2 linked regions of the Rattus norvegicus genome follow. The protein of the gene in region 1 interacts with the protein of each later gene in a biochemical or structural test. Links are inferred from orthologs where the notes say so. Each region holds a gene or a part of one and is shown on either strand. Other genes may lie near its edges.

What was found.
Region 2: of the proteins of Ifih1 (region 1) and Trim65, one has a biochemical effect on the other in vitro, tested with the Homo sapiens proteins (2 studies listed by BioGRID, with this or other methods). The link is inferred for Rattus norvegicus from reciprocal best matches to the Homo sapiens genes IFIH1 and TRIM65.

Annotation. Positions count from the first base shown.
Region 1 is NC_086021.1:67,645,214-67,656,813, reverse strand, and holds part of Ifih1 (interferon-induced helicase C domain-containing protein 1), read left to right. Parts: intron 1-603; coding exon 604-830; intron 831-4,811; coding exon 4,812-5,022; intron 5,023-6,042; coding exon 6,043-6,260; intron 6,261-7,438; coding exon 7,439-7,555; intron 7,556-9,630; coding exon 9,631-9,754; intron 9,755-10,244; coding exon 10,245-10,523; intron 10,524-11,001; coding exon 11,002-11,261; intron 11,262-11,600.
Region 2 is NC_086028.1:101,850,849-101,862,548, forward strand, and holds the end of Trim65 (E3 ubiquitin-protein ligase TRIM65), read right to left. Parts: coding exon 11,581-11,700; exon of another isoform or gene 10,976-11,580; intron 9,784-10,975; exon of another isoform or gene 9,068-9,783; coding exon 8,972-9,067; exon of another isoform or gene 8,704-8,971; coding exon 8,470-8,703; intron 8,394-8,469; coding exon 8,216-8,393; intron 8,112-8,215; coding exon 8,046-8,111; intron 7,553-8,045; coding exon 6,972-7,552; 3' UTR 5,978-6,971; downstream 1-5,977. UniProt on the Homo sapiens protein: E3 ubiquitin ligase that plays a role in several processes including innate immnity, autophagy or inflammation.

The sequences.
Region 1 (11,600 bases):
TGTTCCAGTTTACATATAGCCCCAGAGCTCCTAAAGGCTCACAGATACCAGTACATGACAGCAGGCATGTGCTTTGTAGCATTTAGTTATTAGGTTGATATTTTAGCAAATTAGGGAAGTTGTTCCAGCTGTTATTTTTCCATCTTTTTAATAAGAAAATAACATACATGAGAGCAGTGAAGACTCATCAGTCTTCCTTTGTAGCCCGCCTTGCTTTAACGGGAGAAGGGCTAAGAGAGACCCAGAGGACAAGAGACCGAGCAAAGACCCCAGAAATCCTGTACATTAGCAATAGGGACCTACAAGCCCACACAACATCCTTTCTGCGATCCAGGAGGGGAACTGCTCTCTCTCTGAGAACTATCCCCTATATGCTCCTCCCAAGGCCTCTATGCTGTTAATTCACTCCATCATAGGGAACCTGGTTCAGTCCTGAAAGACAGAGCTGACACACCCTAGTACAGCAAGCAGAAAGTGAGGTAGTGAAACACAGAGGACAGGACCTTAAACTGCTAAACCCTAGCATCAGTTTCGGGACTTCCACACCTTCTCGTCTTCATTGCCTTTTCCCTTACACCACTTTTCCATTTTTGTTTCTCTCAGATGAAGATACCATCATGGGGACAAAAAGAGCATCCCCCAAGCCAGAACTGCAGCTCAGGCCTTACCAAATGGAAGTGGCCCAGCCTGCCCTGGATGGGAAGAATATTATTATCTGCCTCCCCACGGGGAGCGGGAAAACCAGAGTGGCAGTTTACATCACCAAAGATCACTTAGACAAGAAGAAGCAGGCGTGTGAATCCGGGAAGGTTATCGTCCTTGTCAATAAGGTATATGCCCCTCTTTGTGTCAGTATTCTCCCTTTTGTGTCATTATTCTGAAGGTTTTCGATGATAATGTTTATAGCAACAAATCACACGCAGATTCATTTAATTAGGTGTAATGTCAATGAAACCATTTATTTTCATTTTTATCTTAAAGTTATATATTTAAATCCTAAGAGATTAACTTTGAAATTGATTTTTTTCATGAGACTAGAGCATTAAGCTAGATCTAACTTACATATAAAAATTAAATATGCCAACTCACACCTTTAAGTCCAATGGATTTGAGCATGTGTGACTGGAAAATGAAGATCAACTACCTTCTCTTAAAGTGTCTTTAGCCACTTAATGAAACATAGTATTTACTCTTTATCCAGAACATACAAAGCAGAGTGTGACTGAAAGATAAAGAAAAACTAAGTGACATTTTACCCAATCGTAGATAAATATGTATCACATTAAATGCTGTTGAACTTTTCTTTGAAAATTTATATCCTGCAAAGGTCCTCCGAGTCATCTTCATATTAACGTTATAAACAAAATGTATTTATTTGAATTTTATTTAGATAGATGAGAATTTATGTACTGGTAGACTAGGAATATAAATTTAAATCCTATTAGAACTTTGACCTCAGACAAATTTGAACATTTTCTAACTTTTTAGTTGTCTAATCTCAATCAATCTCTCTCTCTCTCTCTCTCTCTCTCTCTCTCTCTCTGGTGTGTGTGTGTGTGTGTGTGTGTGTGTGTGTGTGTGTGTGTGTGTGTGCATGTATGTACTTGCTCAAAAATTAAGAGTCTATTAAATTTTCATATTTTCTTTTCTTTCTTACACATGGAATTTAATAAGATCGTATAGGACAGGGTTGGGTCCTAAATCCACAGGGAAAAAAATAATGTTATTAAGTGAATCCAAAGCCACTTAAACTAGTGTCTTTCTTCCTCTAGGGCAGTTCTGCATTTTCTGACTCTTAGCCTCACCCCCTCTTCTCTCACAAGTTCCCTTCCCTATTTATCTGTCTCTGTGTCACATACACCGCCTCATCCAAACCACATAGCTTCAAAGCCCAGTAATTATCTCTCATTAATTTCCCTCTCTATCTCCCTCCCTGGTCATAGGACCACAGACTCTTAAAAGCTGAGAAGACCTTTGTAATGTAGCTTTCTTCCTTTGCAGAGAGACATGTCACTTCTGTTGGTTAATGCCTGCCACCAAGGATGTCTCTCGTCTTTCCAACAACCACAGCCTACAGTTCTTCCTACATTTTCCACTCAAAGAAATGCGTGCATGCGCTCACTCAGACTCACATGTCCTGTGGAATCCACAGCCATTCTTTCCTCTGTCGTCCTGGAGCACAAGCATAACTCTGGGCTTTGTGACAGCCCTGTACACAGAAAGGGCAACATCCTGAGGGTACTGGGTGACCCCATGAGTCATCATGATTCCCAGGCATCCTCATAGTCTCCCAGATACAGTGCTGAGCACTGGACAAAATGCTGTAGATGCAGTCTGAGGAATGCGGAGCAGAGGAGAGAGGAGGTCTAACTCAGTCCAGGACTGAGTTCATTGGTACATCAGAATTTCATACTAAGCTAAAACCTTCTTAATTTACTTTTGGACAACTAACTTTCAAGCTTCGATGTATGCGCCCAATATTTTTCTTATTTATGCTGTCTGATCATTTTAGATATGTTTTATTATTTTATGTGTATGAGTGTTTCTTTTTTGGGGGGGTAGGGAGGATGTGAATAAATAAATATATATTTTAAACAAAAGCATTATAAAATTGAAATCGTCTAAATACAAGATTGCATAATACATGAATACATTGTATAAATACAAAGATATTGTAAAAATATAGCAATCAAGATAATTGAGTGCAATTGACAATTATTACAGAGAGAAATAATATGGAAATAGGGTCAATATTGTACATCGCAGAAGCAACCTAACCAATTTGTATTCCAAACCTGGATAATAACATTATAAATATACAATCTTAAGTAATATTAAGTAGCTGTCAAACATTCTTCAATTTCCCATTTTGCAATATTTTTGATGGCTGAACTTTCAATGGCATTTTCCCACCGAATGAGCAGTGAAAGCATCACTCGGTTCTCCTTTGTCCCTTCTTGTTTTCTTTGAGATTACTAAAAGGACTTTTCGCTAGCTCTCCATTTACAACATAATTCTTTGCCGTGTTTCCTTAAATACATTTAAAGAAACTTCAGTTTTAATCATTGATATTTCTGTTAGGAAACCTCTGATTTAGGAATGCAGCATATTCCTGTCTAGCCCACATGCAATGTATTTTAGCTTTCAATCTAGAATACAGAAATCTTGGTCTCTAATACCATTTACTTTCGTCTCCATCCTTTCCAAAGTTATAGCCTTCAAGTGCAGAGAGAAATGCAAACACCACCTGTGCTCCCAGACTTTCCATTTCCTATCTAGAGCTTCAACATCACGAGAGAGAAGTCCCAGGTTCCTTCAGATGCTGTAATGCAGCCCCATATGATTCAGCAGAAGTGGGGAGCAGTTGGGCTTGATTAGTCTTGGCACGCAGTCTGTCACATCTCAGGAAAAGGCTCCAAGAGGACCACACACCTCCCAATTAGCCATGTCAGACTTGCATCTGCCTTCCTCTGTGTCCTTCAGTGGGAAGTCAATGCCACCCAGAGTGAGTTTCAAGATTGTCCAACGGTGACCGCATTATCAGGCAATCACATTATGAGTGATAGAGTGTGCATGCGCAGAAGCCTGACCTTACCGTTCTTCCTGTCAACTTTCTATTTGCTATACTATATACTCCAGGAATTCCATTTTTATATCGTCCTAGGATGAAACTCTCAAGGTATCTTGACTCCGGTGTTAACAGTAATTGCAGGCTGGCAGTATAGCCCAGGTGTTAGAGCAATTGCTTGGCATACAGGATGCCAGGAGTCCTGTCCTCAGCACTACAACCAAATCTTGCTTTCATGGAGTTTGCTTGTAATTGCAGCACTATAAAGAGGTAGAGGCAGACAGATCAGGAGTTCAAGATCATCCTAAGCTACACAGGGCCAGCCTGGACTAAGGCATAACTCCCGTTCTCAAACAAAAACAAAATTTAGGAATAAGATAGCTTAACCTGTCTCCTCCTTAGTCTGGGAGGTATTCTGAGTGACTAGCAATTAGAGGTGTCACCAAGGTGTCAGCAGCAACTTTCAACAGATAGTGTGGCACATACAGAGTTGGTTAGAAAGGAAGTGAATTTCTACCTTTCCTACCCTTGCTTGCCACTTTGTTTTGATTCAAACACCAAAGCCATTGTGGTAATTCATTCTCTCCTATTTCATACATTCTCCTAGAAAGTATGTTGATGCTACTGTCCACGTTCCCCGATCTTTCCAATTTTGTAGTCAGATAGCAGGATCTCAGGCACTAAGAGTAAAGGATCTTTAAAGTAAAGGATCTCAGGAGTCTCCTGAGGACTATGATATAGAATTTAATATTGCACTTAATGTTCACAGCTGACTCCACAACTTAAGAATCAATTTAGTACCAGTCACACTTTCAATTTAACTCTTGACTGAACCACAGCTTACCAGAGCCCCTCCAAGGCTTCCTTTGGGAGGTCAGTTGTTCTTCCTCTATAGTATCAGGCTGCTGTGTCTCTGAGAGAATAGTTACATTGTGTGTGATGGTTGTTCTTTTAGTCATAGAATATGTATTCGGTGACACGGAGTTACTCTGAGTCAGCAGCCTTATCTTAAATTCCTTCATGTTATAGATATAATGTCTACATCTAATACAAACACAATGGATATTTAATGTCAGATGGGTAGAAGGAATGATATATAGATGGCGATAATCAAATTAACCGACTGAATGTAAACATTTCTCTTAGTGCACATGTAATCCTTTGACTGGTATCCCTCGGCGCCTTTCTCCTTCCTCTCTATTTTTATGAAGTTTTAAAAATTCTGTATGTTCTCATTTTTAAGGTAATGTTAGCAGAACAACTTTTCCGCAAAGAGTTCAACCCGTTCTTGAAGAAATGGTATCGCATTATTGGATTAAGCGGCGATACCCAGCTGAAAATATCTTTTCCAGAAGTTGTCAAATCTTACGATGTTATTATCAGCACAGCTCAAATCCTTGAAAACTCCCTCTTAAATCTGGAGAGTGGGGAAGATGATGGTGTGCAGCTGTCAGGTTGGTTGGAGTGATTATTTTTAGAATAAAAAAGGCTGAGAGGAATATTAAAGATAGTAACAGGGAATGCTTGTTAAATCATTTTTTATGATGAGAAGTAGCCTCAGTCTATTTAAGTTACATTTTATTTCACAAGGCTTCATTGAAGTGCTCTACTTCCCTGCAAGAAAAGGACCAAAACCAGAGAAATGGTTAACTTAATGGCTTGCTTTTGCATAAGTATATCATTACTAAATCAAGTACTGTGTTCTTCCATTACTTCTGACACACACACACACACACACACACACACACTTTCAACTTATCTCTTGATTGACGCATACCTTACCAGAGTCCCGCTAAGCCCTTCCTTTGAGAGACTAATTTTCCTTCCATCCTGCAGTTACTCTGCCTGTGTCTCTCTCTGGGAGAACAATTACATTGTGTAGTATATGTGTACACACACACACACACACACACACACACACACACACACAAATTGTTGACAGAGTCGGTTAGAATTACCTTCTTCACTATAGAGTAAAACTACAGTCCTGCCTACATTTTTGGAATGATTAAGTAGTTGGGATCAAAACAGAGAAAAGTAAAAGTAATCACAAGAATTAAGCACAGAGTTTAAAAAGCGCAAAGCCATCGGCTCTCTGGATAATACTCTTTTTCACTTGGTGTTGCAAAAAAGGACTTTATCGGCCTAAAATTAAAAGTTTATTCTAAAACCAAGTGGGACTCTGGGAAGATTTTGTGGTGGTAGTTGTTTGTGTGGAAGAAAGGTGTGACTTTCACTAACACTTTCTGCATCCCATCTTGAGACAGGGATGACAGCTAGCAGGAGTAGTGCTGTAGTGGACACACGACTATTCGTAGTCATAAATTTTACTACTGGTCACTGTTAAAATTATACCAGCAGATTGACGTAGGGGGTGTGCCAATGCTATGCCCAAAGGAAAGCGATTCTTCAAAGTTCTTGTGTTGCTGTAAGAAGCCAGTTTGGGTAAACAGACCTTCTATCTTTCTGTTAAGACTTTTCCCTTATTATCATTGACGAGTGTCATCATACCAACAAGGAGGCAGTCTATAACAACATCATGAGACGGTATTTGAAGCAGAAGTTGAAAAACCATAAACTCAAGAAACAAAACAAACCAACAATTCACCTGCCTCAGATACTAGGACTGACAGCTTCACCGGGTGTTGGAGCAGCCAAAAAGCAATCTGAGGCTGAAAAACATATTTTAAATGTAAGTCGCTGATTTTGTGTATAACCAAAAATAATGCTATATCAAATGACAAATGCCTATGGCTCTTAGGATTTTAAGTAGTGTTGAGAATTCAAGTGCCAAAAGCTATTTGCTTTGGCTCTAGAAAATAACCTCAGTCTTGTACACCAAGGTGATATTCTTGATAAATACCTGGGATGCGAGCAAAGGATAGTAGTTTTCATTCCCAATGATGTCTTACTCCATGACTTTCAAAGTGGCATGCTTTCCGTGTCTCTTTGCCTTATGTGTCAGCCTAGAACATGGGTTATTCAAGTTAAAACAGAAAAGAGGCAAATGCTGTGGTTCCCACCTTTAATCCTGGCACCAAGGAGGCCGAGCCCAAGCAGACTGCTGTGAGTTTATGAGTTTACATAGTGAGTTCCAGACCAACCAGTGCCTCAGAGGGAGACCATCTCAACATAAGGGGTTGGTTGGGGTAGTGGGAAATAGAAATGTGAGGACCTTTTTATTAAATATACATTCACCAGCTTCCCCAGATGGGTGCCATCTAAAGTGCTGCTGTCCCCAGATAGGTGCCGTCTAAAGTAGTGCTATTGATATCAGGTAGTAAGTGGGTCAGAGTACTAAAGCCTCACAGTAGGTTGAAATCAATAGAAATTACTAAAGTAAACAAGAGGCAGAAAAGGATTGTCTCCAAAATTCAACTCATGACTGGGATAAAGGCCTAACTTCTACCTATGATCTAGGCACAAAGACTAAGGCAGCTCCTCCCTTTGTGCTGTCTTCTTGTACATAGACAATAATAAGATTATGGTCCATGAACATCATGGCTGCCTGATATAATCAGATGATAGTTACTCCATAATTAACTCCTGTGAATTTGCACAATTTTTCTAGTTTTCTAAGTCCCATATTACAGCTACAAAGTGAAAACCAAAGGACATCTTTTTTCTAAAATTGAACTTCAAATATACTTTTGAAAACATCAGAACAAATATTATGGATTATCATTGGTTAATTAAATCCATAGTAATCAATGCTAAAATACTGCATTCAGTAAATAATACTGTACATTTCCTGAATGAAATATTATGCTACATATCGATACTAAAATGCATATTATAATTTTCTTACACGAAAAATTTCCTTGCATTGGGTTGTAAGAAAGGGATACTTACAATGTGTCTCTTTTCCAGATATGTGCCAATCTCGATGCCTTTACCATTAAAACAGTGAAAGAGAATCTCAGTCAACTCAAACACCAAATAAAGGAACCATGCAAGAAGTTTGTGATTGCTGATGACACCAGAGAGGTATGAGAAGCATTTTATATACACTTGTCTGACAACACCATATCCAATGGAGTATTTTACATTTCGCCATCTGAATATTCTCATTAAACATCAAACAAGCCATGATTTTATACCTTTAAAAGTTGACAGGAGGCAGCAAAGACTGCTAATAATTGTCAGCACCATCCTCCTCCTTCTGCTTATGAGATATAGCTCAGTGCATGGCTACTTCTGAGTCTTGGAGGAGTGGAAGTATTGGGCCAGAGCACTGGACAGTGAACTAGAGGGATTATGGGAGTTGGTACCCTCATAGAGTCTCGGCGTTTGGTCTTGGCGTTTGCCGGATTAGCTTCTTACCAATCCAGGGAACGATTTTGTTGGCAATGACAATAGAAAAATCCTCATTTGCAATCTTTTCTTTTTGAAAACCGACTATAAAAAATGAAAAATTAAACATACTAGTACCTTTCTGGTAAATACTTTCACTGATTTAATAAGAATCAACTTATATTCTGTTTGGATGTTTTGTTTAGTAGAATATTCCTATCTTTTGTAGAATTGAAAACTTAATAGGTTTGTAGAAATGTAAAAGAAGTTTAATTCCACTAGAATCTGCCATTGGCCTCATAGGGCTACTAGGATTTAATGTTGAGATATGAGTGTAATAGGTAATACTCAGAATGCTGTGAGCACCAAACCAGTGCCAGTGGGAAACCTCCACAATGCACTCATTTTCATTCTGAAACTGAAGCGGCCGGAGTGTCGATTATATTCGACCCACTTTTACATTTTTCTCACTTGGATTTACCCGAGGAGTTCAAATTCATGCTTCTATTCTTGATTATCCATATATATATATATATATATATATATATATATATATTTCCTCCATTTGCCACTTTTTTGTCTTAACTTTTACAATTACTCTTCATTAAAGTATGATGCATGGGAAAAGCACAAGATGTACTTGTGGATTTTCATAAGCTGACCGAATTTGTTATGCAAAGAAAAAAAATTAGATAAAGAGTTAGCTCATTACAACGACCTCAGAACCCCTTCTACCAGTCCCCATGCCAAAGGAAACTTGGTTTTGTTTACATTTTGAACTTTGTCCAAGTTCAATCACATAGCATACATTCTTTCATATCTGGGTTTTTCCAAAGTATGCCAATTACTTTTTAATTTTGGAAGTAATTACAGAAGCCTGTTTCGAGTAGTTTTGGCTACACTGCTTCGTGCTCCTGGCTGTCTGCAGGTATGAACCTGCCCAGGAGCTATCTAGAATCTGCAGATGAAAGACACACACATTAGCTCATTTTAAAACTGCTTTATTGGTTGTGTGGCTAGCGTACCCTTACCATTACTCCTAGCGAAACATCTCTAAATCTGCCCTCAACTTAGTTACCTGGTTACCTAATGTGAAGCCCATTGGTCTTGTTGCCCAAGGCACTTTTGGGCCGCCCTTCCGTGGGCCACTTTCCTTTTCCACCTACATTTTAGATCTCTCCTGCAGCTCTCAGTCTGTTCCTAGATCTCCCCTGCAGCTCTCAGTCTGTTCCTGTCTCTTTACCCAAAGTCTCCTCTTCTTGCCCTCTGCTCTCTGCTAGCCTGCGGGAACCTGGTAGTCCTGCCTCTTTCTTTTCACACAGCCATTGGCCACTGGCATCTTTATTGATGGATCAAAAACCAATTGGAGCAAGGACCTTCTGTGTCCGTAAACACAGATTCCCAATTAAATCAAAGCACCATAACAACTCATTTACATAGGAATGCTACCTAAGTGAAATTAAAGACTTTCTAAATAATTGTGACATTAACTCAACGAATATTTTTAATTGCCTTTAACTTTCAAGCTTCGTAACATTCACTGATTTTACTTTTTAAAAAGTTATGGTAGTGGTTTCGAGTCAAGTAACTCCTGAAGTAAAGATAAAACTGTAAAAACCAAATGTAGTGAGCCACGAAGTGATCAGAGATTAATGTTTCATTGTCTAGGTAACGATTCTGAACCAATCACATTATAATATGCAAATCGTTTTAACAAAGCTAGTGAATGCCAGTTTAAATATTAATAATGTTTATGTCATTGTTTTTAGAATCCATTTAAAGAGAAACTTCTAGAAATTATGGCAAGCATTCAAACTTACTGCCAAAAGAGTCCATTGTCAGATTTTGGAACCCAACATTATGAGCAGTGGGCTATTCAAATGGAAAAAAAAGGTAATTTGGGTTTTGACCTAACTGCTTTTCCCTTGTTTACATTAAGATTTTAGACAATCCTCTCAGACACAGAAGCAACCTGAGAGCAAATGGAACATGAAACAGAATTTCTGTTTTGGGTGTAGGGCAAGCCCACACATGTTCTAACCCCTCATCTAAAGAAAGAGGTGTCAATTCATACAGTTTTCACGTCCGTTTATTATATATAAAGTATTAAGGCAGCTATCCGCAGCGCTGTCTTCACAGGCAATTTTACTGAGGTGTTTCCCAGGCTTTTCCTCTAAGGTTCAGGTCCACATTCCGGCTCTCATTGAGCTCAGGCAGCAAGAGATGGAGTTGGAAGCCACCCTCCTTAGAACTCATGGCACATACGGAGCCTCGCTCTGTGCCAGCGCCGCAGTGAAGTCAGTTCTGACTGTTTAAGCTCACAACACAGTTGTAGGATAGTTTTCTGCCCTTTGCCTCACTCACGGAGTTTATTCTTCCAAAGCTGCTAAAGACGGAAATCGCAGAGATCGTGTCTGTGCAGAACATTTGAGGAAGTACAACGAAGCCCTACAAATCAATGACACGATCCGAATGATTGACGCGTACAGCCACCTGGAAACGTTCTACACCGACGAGAAAGAAAAGAAGTTTGCAGCCCTCAATGACAGCGATGAGAGTGACGACGACGAGGCCAGCAGTTGCCATGACCAACTTAAGGGCAATGTAAAGAAATCTTTGAAACTGGACGAAACGGATGAATTTCTCATGAATTTGTTCTTCGGTAAGATTCAATATAGCACAAACCATGTGTTCCTGCACCGTCCTCTCAGACAGGAACTCACGGCTTTCTTTAAGTTTTCCAGAAGGCTCTCAAAATTCATCTTGAAAGAAAATCCCATGAAGACTGTGGTTTATAATTTGATATGACAGGTTAACTTTTAGTTGTGTGACTGTAATTAATTATTTGATCATCCAGTTTTACTGCCAAGACTATTGCAATTAATTAAATAAATAGTCTGAGCAATAAATATATCACAAGATTACCTGAGTCATGTCTTAGTGTATCATGTAAACTTTGCCAGTGTAATTTTTTTAATTTGCTGACGCCAACTAATTTTATTTTTAATAGTTTTTAAGTTATGTTTTTCTTTCATAAATCGACAGAGACTGGATCTGTGTGCGGCACACGGCAGGGTGTGTGAGTGTGTTTAGCAGGGTAGCTAAACCAAGCTAATAACATGAATAATTATTTTTTAAAGATAACAAGAAAATGTTGAAAAAACTAGCTGAAAACCCAAAGTACGAGAACGAAAAACTCATTAAATTAAGAAACACGATCCTGGAACAGTTCACAAGGTCTGAGGAGTCCTCCCGAGGAATTATTTTCACAAAAACGCGGCAGAGCACCTATGCGCTTTCCCAGTGGATTATGGAGAATGAAAAGTTTGCGGAAGTTGGAGTCAAAGCGCATCACCTGATTGGCGCGGGACACAGCAGCGAGGTCAAGCCCATGACTCAGGTGCAGCCTCCGTTTGTAATCCATTGCTTAAACTTCAACCAGTCTTCTCTCATTGTTTGTAATGGCTCTCAGCTCTTTTACCATCTCACAGACACTTAACAGCCTCTGCTCTTGGCTTTGGTGTATATAGTAGCCAATATGTATGTGGTACCACAAGGCTGATAGTGGCACATGATGAGTTAAGGAAAAAGCTAAAGTGGAATCCCCCTTTTATAAGCAAGCGTACAGAGACTTCTTAAGTTTGGCACCTCTTGTGAAAATCAGTAATTTTTACCTTAACAATATCCTAAAGAAATGTTTACAAAATACAATCCAGCAGAAATTCAAAACTGCTCAGCA
Region 2 (11,700 bases), on another chromosome or scaffold:
AGACAGGAGGTTGAAAGCTGCCCTGATGTAAGTGCTGGGAACCAAACCTGTGTCTTGGAGCAGTACATGCTGTGACCACTGAACCATCTCTCCAGCCCTTCTCTCGTGTCTGATGATTAGGATAAACGTGGCGTTTTAACTTTAAGACAGGAAACTAACAGCACGACAATGTCTACAGCCATAGGGCAGCACAATAAATTGTCTGGGCCACTCTGGCATGTGGTGGTCAGATCTTTTTGTTGTTGCTTTGGTTTTTCCGAGACAGGGTTTCTCTGTGTAGCCCTGGCTGCCCTGGAACTCACACTGTAGACTGGCGGAGGCCATGCTGTAACTTACAGGAGAAGCTCCTGAGTGTTTGAGCTCCTTATGACAAAGCCCTTTGGAGATTCCCACCCGCCTGGCCAGGACCAGCGGTGCTGCAGACCTCTGAACTGACCCTCATGCTGGAGCTTTGAGCCCTTCTAGCTTTCCATATGCTTATTCTTATGGTAATTCTCAGTTTGCTTTGTCAGAGCTTCCTGGGAACAAAGTCCCTCGGATGAGTCTTTGATAATTTTTCTAAAGTTTCCACAAGAAACTTAAACCTCTTTGCAGTGTCTCCTAGAAACTGGTTCCTCCGATTGGTTGCCCCTGACGGCCTCTGCAGTCATCTTGACTAGATAGGAAGAACTCGCTCAGGTTAAAGATTCTTGCTTACTTAACTGTTGAGAGAGAGAGAGAGAGAGAGAGAGAGAGAGAGAGAGAGAGAGAGAGAGAGAATACTATATCCCAAGAACATAGGAAATGGTTTCCAAAAAGATGGCGTTAAGAACTTATAAGGAAGAAATAAAGGCCATAAAAGTTCAGCCTTTGCTGACTGCAAAAATATAGAGGCAAGATACTGTTAGATGCTGGCCACGGTGCTTGCACATCTTTAACTTCTGTAACAGCATGGATGCTACCAGCCTGGGCACAGCACACAGTCGGTGTCTGCTGGCTAGATAGAATCATTCAGCTTGCGATATAAAATTCATGCTTACGGGCTGGAGAGATGGCTCAGCGGTTAAGAGCACTGACTGCTCTTCCAGAGGTCCTGAGTTCAATTCCCAGCAACCACATGGTGGCTCACAACCATCTGTAATGAGATCTGATGTCCTCTTCTGGCATGTCTGAAGACAGCTACAGTACAAAATAAATTAATAAGTCTAATATATATTAATTATATATCTATATCATCTACATCTATATCAATATGTGTTAGTCTAACTAAAGTCAGCTTGAGCTATTCAGAGCCATCTCATTGAAAGACAGCCATTGGTTCTCACTTTCACTGGCTTACACACATCCGTCCTATAGCCCGGAACCCTGTTTTTGGGGAGTTGAAGCTTTTCTTTTTAAACTGTCTTTTAAATTATTTAGGTTTATGTCATGGTTTGAATATGCTTGTCCCAGGAGATGGCCCTATTAGAAGGTGTGGCCTTGTTGGACTAGGTGTGTCATTGTGGGCATGGGCTCTAAGACCCTCATCCTAGCTTCCTGGAAGTTCGTATTCTGCTAGCAGCCTTCAGATGTAGAACTCTCAGCTCCTCCTGCACCATGCCTGCCTGGACACTGCCATGCTCCCACCTTGATGATAATGGACTGAACCTCTGAATCTGTAAGCCAGCCCTAATTAAATGTTATTCTTATAAGAGTTGTCTTGGTCATGGTATCTGCTCACACCAGTAAAACCCTAACTAGGAAAGTTTATTTTGTGTGTACGAATATTTTACCTGCATGTATGTCTGGGGACCACATGTGTGCTTAGTGTTCATGGAGTTCAGAAGAGGGCATCAGATCCTCTGGAACTAGAACTGCAGGCAGTTGTGAGCCACCCTGTGGTTGCTGGGAATTGAACTCAGGTCCTCTGGAAGAGCAGCCAATGCTCTTAACTACTGAGCCATCTCTCCAGCCCCAGGTGAGATTTATTAAAGAACTTAATGACCATTGCAAATCTTAGGACACTAGAGGACAATGAAAGCAGTACTCATCTAAAGATGCCACTTAACCCTCGGAAGTCGCTCAGTCCTACGTTGCATATCTTGCTTATGTAGAAAGAACTAGTCATGGTAGTGTTCACCTGTAACCCCAGAAAACAGCAAGTGCAGGCAAAAGAAACAGTAGTTCAAGGTCATCCATGGCAAGTTCAAGGTCAGCCTAGGTTGCGTAAGACTGTCCCAGAAAAAGGGGTGTGGGTAGACATAAACTTTTCTCAACCTACGTTCAGAAGGACCCAACCTTCCCTCTAGCCTACCACACACCAGAGTTATTAGAACACGGGAGAAGCAGACCTGTTTAGAAATAGTTCTGTGGGGTGAGTCCAACCTTCTTTGTCAGGATATCAAGAGTTCAGTCTAGGAGGCTGGGGAAATGGCTCAGCGGTTAAGAGCACCGACTGCTCTTCCAGAGGTCCTGAGTTCAATTCCCAGCACCCACATGGTGGCTCACAACCATCTGTGATGGGATCTGATGCCCTCTGCTGGTGTGTCTGAAGACAGCGACAGTGTACTCATATACAAATAAATAAATAAAACAAATAAATAAATCTTAAAAAAAAAAAAGAGTTCAGTCCAGGAGCAAACACCATGTACAAATCAGGAGCTGCAGTCTAGTTCTCTCTTGGCAGACACCACATGCGAACCAACAAGGGAAGTTCAATCACCAGAAGCAGCAAGAAGCTGTGGGAGCCTCCTGAGTTCTTTGTTTCTCTCTATGACATCACCACAGGCAAAGCTCAACAACGCAGTGTAAGGTGAATGAATAGTTGTGTGCTGTTAGGGAAGAATAGTGAGGCGGAGCGAAGCAAACCAATGCTTGCGTTCCCACTGTCTGTGGGGTCACATGGATATTCCTTCTGAACGCCATGCATCCTGTCACCTGTGTCTGCTTTAGCAAAACATTCTTTCACCCGTGTGCCCCTGCAAAGCATCAGTTAACATAACTGATTTTTCAAAGAAACTGGAAGTTTCCACTTGGGGTGGGGCTCGGGGGCAGCAAGTGTTCTGGGTGTTGAGGTACACACCTTTAATCTCAGCATTTGGGAGCAGAGGCAGATGTGTCTCCGTGAGTTCAAGGCTGGCCTGGTGTGCAAGTCAAGTTCCAGATCAATCAGGACCACACAGTGAGATCCAAAGATAACAATTTGTAGGTGTGTAGCCCGGTGGTAAAGCCATACCTATGGTGCCTGTTGGCTACGATGCCTAAGACCCAGGCTGCCATATTTTTAGGTATGGGTCTAGTAGGATAAAGGTAGGGTCTCACTGTGTGGTCCAGGTTGGCCTGGAAATAATGGGTTCAGGGAATCTCCCTCGTTAGCCTTCTTGGTAGCTGAGTGCACAGGTATACATACCCAGAATGGTGGTAGTCGCTTTTGTTTTGGGTTTTTGAAACAGTCTCTGTATGTAGGTTAATGTCATTGTGCAGGTGAGGGCTGGCATAAGTTAGGTCAAGGCCACGATTGGACAGTAAAAGAATAAGGAGGGGACGGGTTGGGAATTTAGCTCAGCGGTAGAGCGCTTGCCTAGCAAGCGCAAGGCCCTGGTTCGGTCCCCAGCTCCGAAAAAAAGAAAAGAAAAAAAAAAAGAAAAAGAATAAGGAGGGGACAAAGTTTTTGTAGGGAGGGAGAGAAGGAAAAGGAGGGAGAATCAAAATGGAGACAGGGAAGGATGACCCAGTCCAGGGTGGTCTTGAATTGCCAAGGTAGCTGGGATGGATGTCTGTCAGCAAATTTATCTTACCTAGGTGGACAGTTTATGTCCTTTTCAATTGGTTGTAAGTTTACTGTGTGGATGTATTGTGGTTTGAGAATTTAACATGTAAATCTGGTTGTTGGGTTACAGTTTGTTGAGTCTTGATATTTCTGGGTAGCTGGGACCAGAGAGTTCCCAGCTGGCCAGGGCTGAGCAGGGTGACTAGCAATGGGAGTGGAGAGACCGCTGGGGCCAGAAGACAGCTGGGCTAACGTGGCGTGGTGCCTCACTGAAGCCAGCCGCCACTGAGATAAATTGAGGTTAGTTCTATATGGCCCTACAGTGCTAGAACTAACACCAGGGAGCGACCACCGAGGTCTGAGAGTACCAGGGGCCCAGCATAGAGCAGTGACACGCGGGAACCGGTCGCACCACTTTGTAATTATACCGCAACATCTGTATGTGGCCCTGGCTGGCCTGAAACTAGCTATGTAGACTAGATTGCTCTCAAAGTATAGAGATCTGTGAGCTGTATATTCAGATGCTAAGTTCTTGATGCCTGCAGCTAGCTCTTTTTTTTATTTTTATTTTTAATTAATTAATTAATTTATTTATTTTTGCAGCTAGCTTTTTTTTTTTTTTTTTTTTTGGTTCTTTTTTTCGGAGCTGGGGACTGAACCCAGGGCCTTGCGCTTCCTAGGCAAGCACTCTACCACTGAGCTAAATCCCCAACCCCCAGATGCTAAGTTCTGTGTCCCAAGACCAGGTTGCAGTCTGGACATGGGCATTGTCTTGACCGATGTGCTGTAAAGAATACTCCTGATGACCTCTGATTGGACAATTTAAGGCCAGAGCCTATGACTGGGCAGGAGAGAGAGGAAGGTGGGACATGAGATGAATAGGGGGCCTCATGTGAAGGTCAGGATGGACCATGAGCAGAGCAAACAAAGCAAGCTTTTCCTCTCTGTGTAGCCTCAGGTGTCCTGGGATTCCCTCTGTAGACCAGGCCATCCTTGAACTCACAAAGCTCCAACTGCCTGTGCCTACTGAGTGCTGGGATCAAAGGTGTGCACCACCGCTACCTGTCTTAGACATTGTTACCTAATGTCTGCAGTCTTTCAGAGTTGTTTTGATGTTGAGGGCACAAATAGCAGCACTTCATAGCGCCACAAGGATGTGCTCACACCTGCCCCTAATAACATCCTCCCCGTGCAGAGGAGGCAAATGGGAACCTGACGGGTTGCACACCTTGCCTCAGGACGTCCTGCAATGCAAGTGCGGCATTAATAACCCTAAACCTCTTAGGAGTGTGGCTGCCCTCCTGTGTAACCCTGGCTGGCTTCAGAAGCAACAGCGACTGACAGAAACCCAGCAGGCAGGGTGGCTCATGGGTTATACTATAATCCCAATGCTTGGAAGGTTAAGCAGGAGGGTTGCCACCTAACGAGGTCAGCATGGGGACACTGCAAGTTTCCAGACCAGCCTGGGTTACAGATTAAGGTCAAGTCTCAACCCCTCACCCGACAAAAAAAGTCAAGTCCATGACTTCAGGAGGCAGAGGCAGGAAGAGGCTGCCTAGATCGCATCGAGTTTGATGTGAAATACGCTTTATAGGGGGTTCCATCCAGCTAGGTTATATAGCGAAGCGAGACCATCCATCTGAGGGCTAAAGAGATAGGACCCAGGTTTGGTTCCCACCACCCTCTTCTAGCCTCCTCAGTCATTCCACAGGTGTGTGTGCACACAGACACAGTCACACACACACACACACACATGCACACACAACATGTGGGCAAAATACACACACACACACACACACACACACACACACACATATATATTTTAAAGGAATGCTTAGTCATTTGTAAAACATTTACGTCTTCCCTAGGGGATCTATTATTGCACATATAACCCTTTAAAAATTCGTAAGAGACCACCGATGTTGGTTCATGACTTTAATCCCTGCACGCAGAAGGCAGAGGCAAGGCAGATCTTTATGAGTGGGCCAGCCTGGTCTACATAGTTCTAAGCCAACCAGAGGTGCATAGAGATACCCTGTCTCGAGCAACAAGAACCTGTTATTGTTGGGATGATGGGATGACTCTGTAGGTAAATGTGCTTGCTGTCAAACATGACAGTCTGGGTTCCACTCCAGAACCCACAAGGTAGAAGGAGAGATCTGACTCCTGCAAGTTGTCCTCTGACTTCTGCATGCACCCTGTGGCGTACAAGCCACCCCACCCTGAGTCCCAGACTAAATAAACAAAAGAATTTCTGAAATCTTTTTATTGGGAGATGTTTACCCATGAGCATACAAAACAAATGCTTAAGGAATTACAAAAGGAAAGAAAAGGACCTTACAAAAGTGGGCTTCCTTGTAACTACCGCCAACACCAGAACACAGCACATTTCAAGTAAATAAATTACACCGGGCTGTAGATGTCATCGGTGAGAGAGGTCAGAACTTTGAATGCTAGCATTCAAAACACCCCAGGTGCTATACCCAGGACCAAAAAGAAAAAAAAAATTCTACTTCTAGAAATGTGAGGAAAAAAACATCCAGGACCTTCATGGAAGCATATTTGGGACCAGCAAAGGCAAGCAGCTCACATCTGCTACACCCATACCCATCGCCACACTGGCTGTCTACAGCCTGTGCTTAGACCCCACTTGGTGGAACTGTTTGAGAAGGATCAGGAGGCGTGGCCTTGTTGGGGGAAGTGTGTCACTTGGGGTGGGCTTTAAGGTTACAAAAGCTTCCCTCTCCCTCTCTCCTTCCCTCCTTTTCTCCCTCCCTCTCTCTCTCTTTCTCTCTCTCTCTCCCTCCCCTCCCCCCTCTCTGTGTGTCTGGTGATTGGGATGTATCCAGCTCAGCTACTGTTCTAGCACCACGCCTGTCTGCTTCCCGCCATGATAACCATGGACTAAACTTCTAAAACTGTAAGCAAGCCCTGAGTTAAATGCTTTCCTTTGTAAGAGTTGCCTTAGTCATGGTGTCTCTTCACAGCAATAGAACTAAGATCGATGTCCAAGCAATGCCAAGAACTCGGTTCTTGCTTGAGGCCGGGGCTTTCTTCTGGCCCCTGGGCCCTTCGAAGAGAGTAAAAAGTAAACTTGGACTTAGGGCTCCTCTCCCATCTCTGGCCTCTGAGTCCACAGAGAGGCCACCAGCTGTTCCTTTTAGAAGGTTGGCCATTGGTCTCTAAGCCAGGGACGGAGCCACTTTTGGGCACACAAGCATGGTGGCACCTGTCTGTGCCTTCCTCAGCTGGGTGCTATGGCCTCTTCCTGGGGCCTTGGAGGGAGCTCGGCCTCAGGCTGATGGCAAAGACTAAGGGTCCTCCCCTCAAGGAGCCAGAAGACAGGGAAGAGAGGCCGGCTGAAAACTGCATAGAAAGTGTGCAGTGGCTGTGTGTGTGGCTCCAGGCTGTAGAAGGTGAGGCAGCCAGAGGTCAAGTTCAAATCTACGCCCAGGAGTCCTCCAGATACCCCTGCCCGACTCAGACGCTGAGCTCTGCCATTGTGCCAGGCCTGAATACTGTCCTCCTGGATGCAGAGGCCCCACGAGTAGGGTCCACGACCGATGTTATCTGTGTGGGTCCCCAGCTTTCGGCGTGGTAGCTCTGGGTAGGTGACGCCCAGAGTGATGGAGTGGTCAGAGGCACGCACCTCCCAGTAATGTTGTCCAGTCTGAAAACTCTGGGTGCACTGTACCTGCCACAGCTCAAAGCTGCCTGACCTGGCTGGGCTCTGAGCCTGGAAATGGTGTGTCACCTGCTGGGCCTTGTGAGACAAGAGCAAATACCGGTTGGCAGTCTCTGGGTCAAAGGTCAGATTGCGATAATCTATTGGAGAGAGACAAACAGAAGTGGGCAGAGGTGTCATTTTTTCCCCTAGAGCCTAGGGTTCCTGAGCTCCAACTATGGACAGTTTAAATGTCTACCAGGCGTAGTGGGCTGAACACCGGGCAGCGTCTTACTGGTGAATCCTTCATTGCTCCCTCAGAGCTGGAATCCTCTACCTGCCCCATGTTACGAGAGGGGGAAACTGAGGCTCAGAGAGTTAAGTTCACACACTATTAAGCAGAAGGAGGAGATGGACCCCAGAGTGTGCCCTTTATAACACTATGCTGACTGAATCTGCCTCAGGGTGGATCTGGATGAGGTCTACGTCTGACAGCAGATGTGCTAAGGTGGGGACAGGCCCAGTGAGGAGTGTGGACAGGACAGTTAGAGCAGCCCCCCCACCCCATATGTTCACAAGCATATGCACACATTCATACACTCTCACGTGCACACATCTGTCACCCGCACACACACAGGCACTGTGTCTCCTTACTCTGCCAGAGCTTCTTCCTCAGTGGACACATTGCGCTGGGGACTGGTGCCAGGGGACCCAAGGCCTCTTAAGAACAAAGAGTGAAGGGATAGGGTTATCCCTGACTCCCCGCATCTACCCAGCATTGGGGGGTGGGGAGGGCCCAGAGGGCAGGGAGAAGTCAGTCTTACCCATAGGGCCAGCACTGGCAGCTTTGTCTGCCGCCGTGGGGAGGGTCTTCTCTTCAAGGAGGAGCTCACACAGTGGGCTAAGCAGCTGGTTCACACTGTTCAACTGCTCTTCCTCATCCCACTGGGGAGGAGTCGGTGGCCCGAGGGACCCTATGGGCTCAGAGAGCTGCTGTAACCCCTGAACCCCGGGGACAGAGGCAGTGAGTGGTGTTCGAGGCGTGGGAGCATGGCCCTAGCCCACTGCCCTGACGTACCTGGAAGAAGATGAAATCATCCCCCTGCCCCAGGAGGTCCTGGACACTTTGGTCGTACTGAGACAGGGCCTTTAGGTGGTCAGTCAGCCGCTGTCTCTCATGCAGAACTTGGTCCAGCGCCCGCTTCTTGGCTCCCTCTATGTCACTCAGTGTTGAGGCCTGCTGCTTCTCCAGAACCTGGAGCAGGCTACTGAATCTCCTGGAGACCACCGAGGCCAGGGTGCGGGCTGAACTCTGCGTGGGCACAGGAGGAACTTCAGCGTGGCCATTCTCAGCACCATGGCAAGGCAGGCCGGGCCCTCAGTCACCCACTTGGCTTGAAGGGTGGGAACATGGGGGAGTCAGTTAGGGCCCTTGGAACCTCTTTCCCACTGAGGCCTGGCTTCTTGATCAACTTCCCACTCCCTGCCGCTGGGAGGCATCTACGAGGAGCTCACATCTGTTGCCTGCAGTCCAGGAACCGCTAAGGGGTGAGGCCGGACATGAGCACATGGTGAATTACCTCAATCTGACTGCTTTGCTGCTGCAGCTCCTCAAGCTGGGTCTCTGCCTGAGTGGCCTGTTGCCGGGTAACCATTACCCTAGCTCTCAGTCGGTCCTGTGGCACCCATCCAGAAGGCAAGCAACAAAAGGTTAGGAGGGTTGTAACCTTTGAGTCACCACCAGTACAGATGCTGGGCACTTTCCTCATGGCCCTAATGGTAAGTGCCTTGGACAATCCCAGAACTAGGTCAGAGTCCCGGGAGGCCTGGATAGGGACCTTTCTCTGCATGGAGCAGGATGCTATATGAGGAATGTGTTGGTCTTGGGTTGAAGACCCCACTTCCGGTCCCACTCCTGTGGCTTGCAGGTTGAGTGACCTGGACAGAGTTCCCCCACCTTCTCTGGTCCAAACCTCATGCCTACCCCAGGCAACAAAGGAGAGAGGTAGCACTGGGCTTACAGAGCCTGGGGTGGGGCGGGAGACTGGACAGAGTTGTCTGACCAGTGATCAGTTCAGCACCTAGGAGCCCAGAGGGAAGACGGACGTTATTATCATTTGGTTGACTTCTGTTCTCCCCGGAGACCAAAATGTGCTGTTATAGGAGCACCATTCTGGTACTTGAAGATGATGCTTAACCTGGCTAAGAGTCTCATTACCTGTTTTTACTCCTTCCAACACCATTTTGAGTTGGGAACCTTTATCATTGTTGCTTTGAGATAGGGTCTCATCATGTAGCCCCGGCTGGCCTGGAACTTTCCACGTAGACCAACTTGATCTTGAACACTTACAGAGATCAGCCTACTTCTGCCTCCAGAGTGACAAGATTAAAGGTGTGTGCCACCTCACCAGCTAGCTTATGTTAAAAACCTATTTGTGGGGGCTGGGGATTTAGCTCAGTGGTAGAGCGCTTACCTAGGAAGCGCAAGGCCCTGGGTTCGGTCCCCAGCTCCGAAAAAAAGAACCAAAAAAAACAAAAAACAAAAAAACAAACCTATTTGTGTTTATGTAAGTGTGGGTGCAGGCATACATGCCAACGTGCACATGTGAAGGTCAGAGGGCAACCTCGGGTGTCTCAGTCCGTGCCCTCTACCTTGAGGCAGGGTCTCTCGATGTTTACCACTGTGTCTGCCAGCCTCGTTGGCCCTTGGGCGTCCTGTGCCTCACATCCTCTCTCCTCTCAAGCAAAATTCTGTCCCCTAGAGCATGAGCCATCTGGCTGAGGTGTCCTCCATGCTGAGGGCTTCTAACCTCCAATGCCAACTTCAGTACCCAGTTTGGTCTCTCACTTGTCCTGGGCAGCAGTGCCTCAGCTTTACTTCTCGGGGCTTCAGCAGCTCCAGGGCTCACCCTCCAACCCTCTGAAACTCCGTTTCTTTCCTCCTGTCTCTGCCACTCACCCTCTGACCTCACCCTGGCCCTGTCACAGCTCTGAAATGTCCCAGGCATCTGTCCTTATTCCCACTTTCCATCCCTTACTGGTCGCGCTCCCTCCTTCAGGCTCCTTGTCCGTGTGCTGCAGTCCTCTCACTCCGTCTCCTCTGTCTCATTCCTGGTAATCACAGCCTCACAGCCTGGCTGTGATGGCCATGGGCGAGGGCGCAGGCTGCCATGGTGCCAATTCCATGGCCTTTTTTTGCCTTTAACTGAACCTCTCAGCAGCATGGATCACCTGGAGAACTCTCTCTCCTGTCACTGGCTGTGCCCTAGCCACCATCTATGTAGCTGTCAAGATGTAATCTTGGGCAGACTCTCCCTGCCCAACAAATTACCACTCCTTCTAGGGAACTATAGCGACTTCCGGCTTTCTCCTTACTGCCCGCGTCTCCTCCCAGCTCTCAGTAGGTGTCTGTGTATACCACTGCATCCACACACTTCGTATCCCAAACCAGCTGCTCCCCACCCACCCTCAGCACAGAGTAGCCCAGTCTCACGCAGAAACCTTGTCCCCAGCCATCCCTACTTCTTACTTGTCTCCACTGGGCACCGGGCTCCTACTCACTTCTCATTTCTTTTGCTTTGCAGCTGTGACCTCCTCCTCATCTCCTACCCACTCCACACCCCCAGTTGGAGCTCAGTCTCCAGAAAGCAGAAATTTGATGACATCATCGCCCTGTCTCAAGCTCGGGAAGGTTCTGGACATCCCGAGAGGAAGAGTCACCACCACCATGCTGCCCATCATGGTGTGGTCCCCGATGACCTGTTTGGAGATTTCAGGAACCTGTCTCCTCCCCGTCATCTCTGCTCCTTGGCGCTTGTCCCTGCGTCCTCTTTTTCTGGCTGGTACTTCCTCACCCCTGAGGAGTCACCTAAAGAGCGCCGCCCACTCTTCTTCAGCAGGCTGACCTTGCCATCTCTATAGAATGAAACATTTTGCTGAGACACTATCTGACCCTTGAGTAGATCTTCAGCCTCTGAAAGGCAGAAAGCACGCTTATTGAATGTTGGTCACCTTGGCGAATGGGGCTGTTAGCCCTGGCCTAACACTCTGGCTCTGCTTTATTCAGAGGACCTGGGGAGAGCTGTGTGGGACAGTCAGGTGTACATGGCCTCTAGGTTCCTATGGGAACCCGCAGCCTTCTGTTGCAGCCCCTGGCCCTGGCCACAAACAGTCCCGGCCCTTCTCTCACCTCGCGCACGCGGCGCTCCACGTCCAGCAGCGCCCTCTCGTGGTGGCTACAGTCGTGCACCGTGCACGCGCTGCACACGCAGAGGCCCTCCGTGAGACAGAAGAACTCGAGCGGCCTCCC